Oryzias latipes: one gene and its partners. The protein of the gene in region 1 interacts with the protein of each later gene in a pairwise test. Links are inferred from orthologs where the notes say so. Each region holds a gene or a part of one and is shown in the gene's direction. Other genes may lie near its edges.

Region 1 (3,222 bases):
TGGAAGCACACAAAAAATGACTCACTACTACCTAACCCCCAAAGGACTATGTAGTTCAGGACTATCTACTGCTCTGGATTTTAACGCAATTCGGACACCATGCTCACTACATTTTTTTCAAATGATAGATTGTTCTAACACAATGCATTGTGGTTCGGGGCTGCTCAATATGAGGAAAACCTGCGATCTGCGAGATTAGTGATCAATATTGCGATAATGATATAACTTGCGATACATAAACATATCAAAAATATCAATTCCATTTCACTGCAACTGTTTAATTTGAATAAGAGTCGACATAACTTGGTCAAACGCATAAAGGGATTTATTTGATTAATTAAATAATTCAAGCTGCCATAAGATTGTTTAAGTACATTTACTGTAACCATTTATTGCAATTTTTGCCGTCTTTTACGATATGCGTATTATGAACACCTGGATACTGCGATAACAATATATTTGCAATTTATTGAGCAGGCCTAATTATGGTTTATATTCACCAGTTCTACCTTTTCTATTCTAATCTTTAGCAGGGACTTCTGAGAAATTTCCAGAGCTCTGGATTTTATAATTGTAGATTCGGACACCCCTGCAAAACGGTGAACACCCGCACACCAAGTAGTGAAAAGTGAAGGACTCTGATAAAGCCAGGACTCCTCCCTCTTTTTAGCACTTGTTTGATCTCAGTTATTTAACAAAGTTTATTCAAGGTCACTGCATTTGGTTTTCTTTTGAATTATTTTATCTAACCCCTTTAACACTGGAATAACATTTAAATAACATAGCCTAACTCTTCGACTGATAACCTAATCACTGCTAATCGGCTGATTCTGACGTGAAGAGAAATGGCCTTTCTTATCGTCTTTGCACCAATTCGCAACACATTTCTAACATAAAGTTTAGCGTATCGTGCAAGGGCCCATTTCTCTGCTTCAGAATTTGCTGGAACTACGCTAATTGTGTAGACGGTTACGGTAGTCGAAAGAATGTAAACACTGGAACAGGTTTCTGGTTGCAGCTCTATAACTGACCGTCCTGTCTCCCTTACAGCTACATCTACGACCCCTCTGTGGCGGTGGAGGAGCGGAAGGCCGACTCATCAGGCAACTCCCTCTACCAGTCCCACCACCAAACAGCAGGGGGCCTCAACAAGCAGAAGCAGGGCTTCCACAACCTGGGCTACAGCAGATCCAACGACAGCACGCTAAAACTGGAGTTTGACAACAACCAAGTCAACCACAGGCTGCACGCCGCCGGGAGCGCTGCCCCTGTGGAGGCGGGGCCGTACATCATTCAGCCCGAGGTGCGATGGGAAGACAGAGGGACGAGCCAGGTGCCAATTTACCCCAGCATCCAGGAGTATGAGCGGCAGAGGTGCTGCACCGAGACGCAAAGGAATGGGTGGGACTCCTCCATTAGCCCGCCGGGGAAGACGGGAGGCAGGAGCTCCTCGGTCGACGAGATAGACGAGGGCGTGGGGGGGACTCCGGAGTACACGGGCGACACAGGAGACGAAGGGAGCGTCTTGTCCGTGGACATCCACACCAGCACCACCAGTTTGTCCTCAGCCGGCACACGAGACGGCCTCACTCCGCCAAAGACTTCAGACGTTTCCACCGAGGAGAGCGGGATTTCAGTGACGAAAAGCGAGGATGAGGAGGAGGTCAAAGACGAGCTGGAGGAGGTGCAGAGCGTCACAGACTCCATGGTGGCAGAAGCCCTCGCTGCGTTGGAAGCAGCCACAGCTGGAGAGGACTCTGAGTAGCAGAAAAACCAGAACCAGACTCAAAGAGACTCAGGGAAACCAGAGAATATGAAGAAATGCTTTTTAGACAGATTTATTTTGGAACTATTTTTATAAATGTGAAGGAACATCATGTCTGCTTTCTTATGAAGGGCTCTTCAATTCCAAAGGCTTGAATAATGACTGAGGAGACACCAGTGTGAACTGAATACCCCCTGTGGCTGTTTCACACTGTGTACTTAACACTCCACAGTCCGGAAAACCACCAATGTGCTCACACTCGCCACAGAGGGGTTTATTCAAAAGGTTGGGGGTAAGACCTGCAGATGATATGTTACCTAAAAAGTGCAGACGATTGATAGGAAAGACGAAGAGACACTTCTCAACATTTCCTTCTTTCTGATTTTAAAATAAAGCTAAATAGAATCAGCCAACAAACATTTTTGTGGAAAAAACTGCTTTGTTAGTAGTTTCTTTGCAACATTGATTTTAGTTTAGGTTTTCATATGCGACCTTCATAACTGACCTTTTACCGCCAGAGCTTCACAAAGGTTAGCTCTCACTAAATGGTGTGGAGAGCTTCGTTTCTCATCTTATTTCTCCTCCTGTAGGTCAAGCCTTGTGTTTCCCGTCCGGTCAGTGACATTAGTTCAGTGCCTAGTAATGAACTAATTGAGGCCAGAAACAAATAATTATGAGAACGAGTGAAATAAATGATCTGTTAAATTAATGAAGTTCAGCCTTAGTTTCAGAGCCAGCGCCCTTTCCCGGGGGTTTGCTCGCCAAATCTTTTCCGCTCGTTGTATTTGTGTTGAGAACGTTAATACAAGTGCAATAAAGTTGTGTTCAATCATTTGTTCTCTTGCTGTGTTTTTCAAATGCTAGTGTCTTGAGAAGTGAGCCGGCTAGCAGTGAGCTAACTTGCTAGCTTATCAAAAGTAAACCCCGGTTTATGTTCAGCTCTGGCAGAAGCATATTACACAAGTCAAACATGTTTGAATTCTTTCATTTTTGTGTTGTTGTTTTTTGTGTTTTTTTTTATTATGAATTAGTTTGTTAGCATAAGCAGTAAAGTCAGTGTTTCTTAGCATAGACTACTAAAACAGTGAGCGTTAGCATAAAATGTTCAGTCAGACTGTGTTGGCATAGATGAAGTCGGCTTGTCTTAAATAGTCTCCTAAATTTGCATATGTTAGCATAGACTTCTGAATTGCCGTGTGTTAGCCTAGATTGCCTAGCCAGCATAGACTGCTGAGTCAGCATTTAAGCATAGACTGGTGAGTCAGCAAATGTTAGCTAGCATGGACTGCTGAGTCAGCATGTTAGCATGGACTGCTGACTCAGCGTGTGTTAGCATAGTCTGCTAAGTCAGCATAGTAACATGGTAATACTGGGCAGAGGTTCTTGAAGTAGAAGCTTCTCCCAGAGAACACATCTAGCTGATTGGTGCAGATTTAGTTGACTCGTCCATCTGGGTG
Region 2 (4,111 bases), on another chromosome or scaffold:
GGTTGATGAAAGTTTCCTGTTGGTTACCAGTGTGTTTCTTTTTGTGATAAAACTGTTCTTCTGCTCTTCCTCCAGAGGGCAGAATCAGATCAGCGTTCACACTCAACTGCCTGCTCCACCAAACAGTAGAGCACATTTAGAAAAATTGAGATTAAAAAACATTGTGTGAATTACTCCCCCAAGGTAATTAGCAGCAGAAAAAAACAGTTTTTTAAAAATTTGATTTTGTCTTGGTTGGATAGTTAAAGGGTTGAAAGAGTTTGATGACAACTTCTTGAACCTAATAAAAAATAGAGAAATTGTAAATAATATAAAAAATTAACACCATCATTTGGGTGGTGGAAATGGAGTGTTTTGTTTTTTTTTACTCCTTTTTAAGTAAACATGTTTAATTTTTCTTTTACTTTGGTTATAATCAGTTTTTTGCAAGTTACTTCCAAAACGTAACACATTTCTGAAGTAATGCCTTGTATTAAAAGAATTCTGGCTCAAAATCGCACTGCTTCACATGTCTCCTGAAGCATTACCTTTAAGCTTGTACCTGCACAAGCAAACCATAACAATTTAAAGTGGCATTTTAGTCTATACTTTTTTGAAAAGTATTACTACTCTAAAAAAAAGCCTTATGTACCTCTAAAAGACTAATATCCACAAATAAAATGCTACTTGAAGTAGGTTAATATGACCACCCTTAACTTACAACAACAGGTCAGGCAGATATGGATTTAAGGGGTGAAATGGACCTGACATGAAAAGGAAATAATTTTTTTAGGTCTAGTTATCCTAACAGGAAATTTGTCTCCATAATTTAATTTGAGACAAAAATGTGAAAAAGCGTACAGTGACCTACAACACCTATAGGCTACTGCTGAGGTGGCAAGTCTGTTGTAATACAAGAGTTACTAAACATTCACTGAGTGAAATGTAAAATATATTTATTGGTAATACTTTACATAACTGTTATTTTACAAAGTTGAGTGTTTGTGTAATTAAATACTTTTATTGTGAGTTACTACCAATTATGTTCATGGTATAAAATACATCCTGTTTTTTTTGGTGTGTAATTGTTATTATCATGAATTTTTTTAATTATTGTTTAAAGTATTTTATTATTGATGTTATTTTATATTCGCTTATTATTTAATTATGTGAAACCATAAAAGTACTGTTTACTCGAAAAATGATTGCAACGATTGAAACGCGAGCATTTAAATGACGTATGTTGCACAGTTTCGGTTTCCGCTCTCTGATTGGATAAATGGGCGTTTACGTAGCAATGGTCCGGAAAATGTCGTTCGGGCCAGTCCGAAGAAACTTCCGCCTCAAGTTGTAAAGAAAACACAGGAGCTAAAAGGCAATCGACGGAATAGCCAGCAGTTTAAAGAAGTCAGATCAAAGGTAGAACCAAATATCGTTTTTTTTTTACAAGTATAGGATAATTTGCGCAGCGCAGTCAGTTTGTGTAAGTGTTTAGGGCCGTTTGGGATTAAAGCTTCAATTTATTTGAGCTAGCTACGCTATTCAAAGCTAGCAGTTTGCTAATATCGATTCGATCGCTTATAGGCCTCAAGTGAATGTCTTTAAAATTAGATCGATTTACATGTGTGACTTAACACCAACAGGTAATAGTGCTGTTTTTTAAACATTGACATTACTTCGTTTTATTTAAAATACATTTCTTAATTTTATGATACGTCAGCGACTTAGCCTTTCTGATAGCTCGTTAGCACTACCACCTACTAGGGCTATCTGTATTTCGGTAGCTAGTGTTAACTGGTCAGTTTAGCTTCCAACTGAGACGAGCAGCGCTTCAGACACCATTATACGAATAAAAACTAGACCAACTTTGTCTCCTTTTGTTTAAGCATTTACACTCACCGTTTTCAGTAATATTTCATCTACGAACACTTGTCATTCTTACCTAGTCTGTGAAGTAGTTTTTTTTTTTCTAATGTGACTAGTTACTTCTTTACGTATGTTGCGTTTTAGAAACTTAGCGATAATAATATTGTTTGTCAAGTAATTAGATTTAAATTAGATTTTCAGTTAAGTTCACAGTGAGGTTTTGTTAAAAAAAAAGGAACATTATTAAAGCGTGCCACTCCCCTTAACCAAATTAAAAAAGTCAACAGGTTCTCTTACCTTTGGCGTCAAAACATAGCCTCTGTGTGGGCGGGTTAGCGTATGATTCTTTATTTTTCAGATTTTACTTTTTAGTAACTGCTATTAATCATCACAGAACAAACTACTATGTGGCACTGTAGATTTATTTGAAAAACTTTAATTTGAGTTTTATCTCTGCAGATAAAAAAAAAACATAAAACATTTTAGGTTAGGTAAGCCCCTATGTTGTTGTTTTTTGGGGGTTTAATGTAAATTCATAAGAGTAGTCTATAAATGTAGGTACAAAATTGTATTTATGAACGAATTATAGAGAATTATTTTAAATCTTAATTGAAATATCTTTAACAATAATAAAATTGGATTTAGATTTCATTATACTTTTACAATTATAATTAGCTTCTTATTTTATTAAAAACCCCAAGTACCCCCCCTGAAGTGGCACTTGGTACCTACCCCTTTGTGCTTTATGACTAATATATAGTCAGGTATTTTTTTATTTTCCTTTTCCTTTTATGGTAGACCCCTGTTATGGCATTAGTGAAACATTTACAAGCTGTAAACTAACTTGGATCATTTCTTTTTCTTTAACTTGAACAGGTCAAGTGTGACTGAAACCTAAGGCTGTCCATTCCAGCTGCTCTTTCTAATGGTAGCTGGAATGTCAGTCTATTTCCATTAAAAAAAAATCTGTTTATGGATTTTACTCTAATATTTGCGCCTTTGCACAATGTGCCAACAATGTTTTGAAATTTATATTTGAATGAATGGAGCTTGTAGATAGAAGAGCTACTTCCCCAATTAGGAGCAAGGCTAAGCAATATTCTGTTTTTCCTCTCGGTACCAAGTTCTGTAAATTATTTCGGCTCATATCTAGAAATTATTTTCTTGCGGAATTGGAACCGATGTAATTGAACAAGGACTAATATCTTTGTAAAAGTAAAACCAATGATTCACCATCAAGTTAATGGAAACCAAAAGCTGGTTTTTATAAAGATAATCAAATTTCTAACCTTCATCAATAACCGTCTATTGTTGTTTTATTTTCTTTGCAGGTCACTTGCATTCTGGAACTTGTGCGGCTTGTCCTGTGTGTGTGTATGTGTGTCTGTGTGTGTGTGTGTCTGTGTGTGTGAGTGATTGTGTGTGTATGTGAGTGGGTGTATGTGTGAGTGTGCGAGAGCTGCACTTTCTTTGTCACTAATTTAACAAGTGCTGCTCCTCCCTGGAGGATGACAATGGAGGAGATGAAGAATGAAGCGGAGACTAACTCCATGGTATCCATGACGCTGTATGCTGTGATGTTCCCAGTTTTTAATGAGGTAACATTGCCATCACAATTAAAAAATGAAAAAACATTAGTCCAAAAAATACATATTTTTTATAGAGTTTTAATTGAAGTTGACAGATGTTTCTCTTATCATAAAATCCAAATTTAGTACCTAAAGTAGAAGAATTGATATTTCTGAACTTTTTTCAAAATTTTGTAATAGTAAATGCTTCTCAAAAATTGTTTCTAATCTTTTCTCTTTTCTGTGAACGTTTTTGTTAACGCTAAGCACCGCTCTCTGTCCTGGTGTGTTTTGTTTTTTAATGGCCTGTACTTTTTTTCTTTGTTTCTTCTTTTTAGCTGGAGAGAATCAATCCATCAGCAGCTCAGACGCTCAGGGCAGCTTTCATAAAGGTGAGACCTCGTGAATCAACCAAGAGGAAATGTAAAATCATGTGATCCCACTCCTGTCATATGTATGTTGCAAAGAGTATGAATGTGTGTCATAGCAATTGGGTACAGTAATTTAAAAAAATAAATCCTATTGTTGAGTTATGCGTCTTCATGGTTGGGGAGGGCATCTGGAAATTAAATGAATGACTTCTGCTTTAAAAAAGAAAAAAGCTTTTCTGTGTTTAACTTCCTTCATGTTGAATTTAGCTTTAAAAAAAAAGAACTTGCTGAGATTTTTCACCAAAGTCATTTTTCCATTCACCTTCT
Region 3 (3,654 bases), on another chromosome or scaffold:
CATTTCACTTGCAGTACAGCTTTGCTGTGGCATTTTGTTTCTCACCACATGTACTCATCTGACTACCTAAGAACTCCAACCCGAGCATGAAGGTGTTGCTGGTATTTGATTGCCTTTTAGAGGACAAGCAGACATTTTTTTTCCTGTTGTACTTCAGTGAAAAGTCCAAGGTTTAAGGAGTTTTTGACTGCCCCCCCCCCCCCTTGTTTATTGTGCGTGTTTCCTCCTGCATGTTTGGGTGTCTGGCGTGGTCCTCGACAGTCTGTGAGCTCCCCTCTCCAGTCTCTCCAGCAGAGGACATGGCTCATTCACTGGTCTCTCTTCGTCTTCTTCAACCACCCCAAAGGGAGAGACAACATCATCGAGCTCTTTCTCTATCAACCCCAGTAAGTACTTTTATCTTCTTGTAGTGTTTTTTATCTAGAGGATCAAAAAAGTGCTCAGAGGTTAAAGAGAAGAACCTTTTTTGTTAAATTCTAAGAACTTTAGACTATTTATCAATATAGCTACAAGTATACTTGGAGTTGTAGCACCGCTATACTACTTTTATAAGATTATATGAAGGTTTTTTTGGCTGTTCTTCATCACTAGCACAGAGGAATCTGTCTGCTGACAAGTTTTTTCATTTACCCGGGTGCAGTAAAGATACTGCTGCAGGAAAAAAAGGGTTCCTGCTTCTTTGACATGAAGTTGACTTAAATGAACATTTGTGCTTCAACAACAGTTTTTGGGTGGTGGGCTTCCTTGTGAACCCTGCTGGTATGTTGCAAGTGGTTTCAGAAGTGTGTGTTTTTCGTGTGGTCTGTTTACTCTCCAAGCCCAGAAGCAGGCCATGTGTATTGCAGATCGGAAACTTTATACACTGTGTTAAAATTTGCACACCACCCAATTTGATGCCTTTGCACCCCCTTTACCCCCCTTCCCAGTTCTGATTGCAGGCTTGTGTAATTGTACAGATGATTGGCCTCCACAGACAGTATGACAGGCGACCACAACACAGCACACTCAAATGTCTGGTTGCCTGAATTTTACTTGGTTTTTCATTTTATTGTGAATGATTTAAGGGGGCCAGCCCAATAATTACTCATGAAAAGTGCACCCAGCCATCTGTTTGGACAAACTGAGGTAGTTTTGTGTGCTTTGCATTTTCACAGTGTAGAAACCTCATGTTTTCCCCACTGGAGCTTGGTTTGGCTTTGGTTTCCTATCTGTTGACCAGCACTTCCTTTGGCAGCAGTTGGTGACCAGCGGCTGGCCTTCAGCTCCACATTTGACCTCTCTTACCCCTGCAGTCAGCAGATGGGCTTTCACAGCTTGTTTCTGCAGCATGCACATTCTACATGAGCTGCAGCACTAGTTAGTTGGGTTAAAGCAGCTTTGCACAGGTGTCAGTCATACAAATATGAACTCCAGAGGTTACTGCCAAGTTACCGTAATTTCCAGATTATAAGCCGCTACTTTGGTCACACGCTTTCAACCCTGCGGCTTATTCAATGATGCGGCTAATTTATGCATTTTTTTCTTTTTAATGCATTTTTTCTAACCGCCACTAGGGGTGCTCGAGCAGAAAGGGTAAGAGAGAGACGGGGAGAATACGTTATATGTGTCGAGAAAGACGCAAGTTTAATGTAAATTCCTGCTTTGTGAATGAATAGTACAAACAGACCCTCATCATGGAAAATGCAAGAAGAAATGCATATGCCGCAGCTTTCAAGTTAAAAGAAGTGTGAAAAAATCCACCATCGTAGGTACGGGTTTGGAAAAGCCGGTGTGCTGCGTGACGGAGAGGACAGCGCAAGCTCAGGAGAGAATTTACCTCAGGATGAGAGTGACACTGACAACTACAAGGAAGGAGAGACTGAGAGAGAGTGTAGCGAAAGAATATCTGACGCTATTTCAATACGTCACTGAGGAGGAAGACTTCCATGGTTTCAGTGCACAGACGCACAAACGCGCTGCTGCTCTCAGTGACTTTTACCGGTATGCTTTTTTTAACCAGTCCTGTTAGAGCTGTTACTACCATATTGCTGCCGCGTCACATGCACTGTTTGGAATAGAGCTGTGACGGTGTGGGATTTTTGAACACCTCTGTGATGAAGCAGCAGGAGCTGCAGTGCTGTGGTCCGCGCCCTACCCCCATCACAAAATCCCCCAACGGCCGTTTCGCAAATGAATACCGGTACGAGTAATAATTACAACACAGTATTCTTTATTAACAAATAACAGTAACTACTAGCTATCTAATGAACTAATTCTATAGGTGTTGTAGAATGAGTATGTGTGTCAGCGAGCTGTGTGTAAGAGGAAGGAGCCTCCCTTTTGCGCTTCACGAGTTCTCCCCTCGCTCCGCTTTTACCGCTCCCTCCTCTTTCTTACACACGCAGCGCAAGATTTCAGCACATCCTCAATCAACAACACATGTTTCAATGTGGGCACATGCGGCTTATAGACAGGTGCGGCTTTTGTATGTACAAAATGTTTCATCCTTTAAAAAATGTTATGGTTGCAGCTTATAATCAGGTGCGCTCCATAGTCCGGAAATAACGGACCTTTTTTTTTTTTTTGTTTTTTTATTCTCCTCCAGACTCCTTGTGGTGATCCATAGTATTGTAGTTTTGGCTCTGGAGTTTAAGTCGCAGATACCAAAATATTCATAACAAAAGAAAAAATCCTAGACCGGTGGCACTGGAGTATAAGTTAAACTTTTGGGAGCAATGTATAAAATACGGGACCAAGAACAGACATTTCATCTTGAAAGGCAAATCATATCAACAGAATAGACAAGAAGAATAGACTGAATATATGCACACTTCACTACCGTAAAACATTGATGCTTATTTAGATTCATAAAACACAAGAGGAATCTAGTATTTTGGCACAACATATGAACAATTATTCAAATACCCATCACATAAAGAACATGCTAACAAGTCAACTAAGCTCTTTATATCACTTCTGCAGAGCCCACTGTAAAGGCCCGTACACACCGGGCCGAATTTCGCGCGCGATATTCGCCGACGTTGAACACCTCGTGACTAAACAAAGGGCACCAATGTGAGTGTGCACACCGACGCGAAAAACGCCACGCGTAAAAGCGTCATTTTTAAAAAAACGCCTCGGGTTTGTTTTTTTGGTTTGACCCGCCGCGTCAAAGACTATTCGACCAATGAGAATGGCGCTTTTGCACACGTGTCTGGAGCTTCTGAAGTTACAGTAAAACACAACTTGGGGGTGCTCAAACACAAAACTGTCTTGCTGAGCACACATACGTCACGGCGAAGAAGATACACGCCAAGTACCGTCAACACTGCCGCGAAGAAATAAGACGAAGATGCAACTCACTGACGGACATTTTAAAAATCCCCGAAAACGCTCATACATTTTCAGCTCTTGTACCAGTCGATAAAACTCCCCATGTTCTTCTCTTCTCGTAACTATGGGATGTTCCCAAAATCGACGTCTTTTCCGACGTCTTTCATCATTCAACAGAACAATCATTTCTTCATCGCTGGAACTGGAGCTGGAGCAACTGATGCTTGAAATATTCATGTTTTCTTTGTATGATTCTGACAAGCACGTAAATACTTGCTCTCTTCTTCTGAGTGAAAAGCGACTTTAAGAAGCGTAAAGTTGCGCAGCGCCACCTTGTGTACA

Evidence for each region.
Region 2: the proteins of uncharacterized protein LOC101165509 (region 1) and pdcd10 interact in binary tests that used the Homo sapiens proteins (3 or more experiments, as listed by UniProt). The two-hybrid records come from large-scale screens. The link is inferred for Oryzias latipes from reciprocal best matches to the Homo sapiens genes PGCKA1 and PDCD10.
Region 3: the proteins of uncharacterized protein LOC101165509 (region 1) and eif3e interact in binary tests that used the Homo sapiens proteins (3 or more experiments, as listed by UniProt). The two-hybrid records come from large-scale screens. The link is inferred for Oryzias latipes from reciprocal best matches to the Homo sapiens genes PGCKA1 and EIF3E.

Annotation. Positions count from the first base shown.
Region 1 is NC_019876.2:15,196,286-15,199,507, reverse strand, and holds the end of uncharacterized protein LOC101165509, read left to right. Parts: intron 1-1,050; coding exon 1,051-1,765; 3' UTR 1,766-2,597; downstream 2,598-3,222. UniProt on the Homo sapiens protein: Acts as a tumor suppressor. Acts as a tumor suppressor for colorectal cancer cell proliferation by targeting KEAP1/USP17/ELK1/CDK6 axis.
Region 2 is NC_019880.2:9,011,159-9,015,269, reverse strand, and holds the start of pdcd10 (programmed cell death protein 10), read left to right. Parts: upstream 1-1,268; 5' UTR 1,269-1,398; exon of another isoform or gene 1,399-1,622; intron 1,623-3,176; 5' UTR 3,177-3,353; coding exon 3,354-3,443; intron 3,444-3,751; coding exon 3,752-3,805; intron 3,806-4,111. UniProt on the Homo sapiens protein: Promotes cell proliferation. Modulates apoptotic pathways. Increases mitogen-activated protein kinase activity and STK26 activity. Important for cell migration, and for normal structure and assembly of the Golgi complex.
Region 3 is NC_019874.2:3,407,184-3,410,837, reverse strand, and holds part of eif3e (eukaryotic translation initiation factor 3 subunit E), read left to right. Parts: intron 1-261; coding exon 262-386; intron 387-3,654. UniProt on the Homo sapiens protein: Component of the eukaryotic translation initiation factor 3 (eIF-3) complex, which is required for several steps in the initiation of protein synthesis.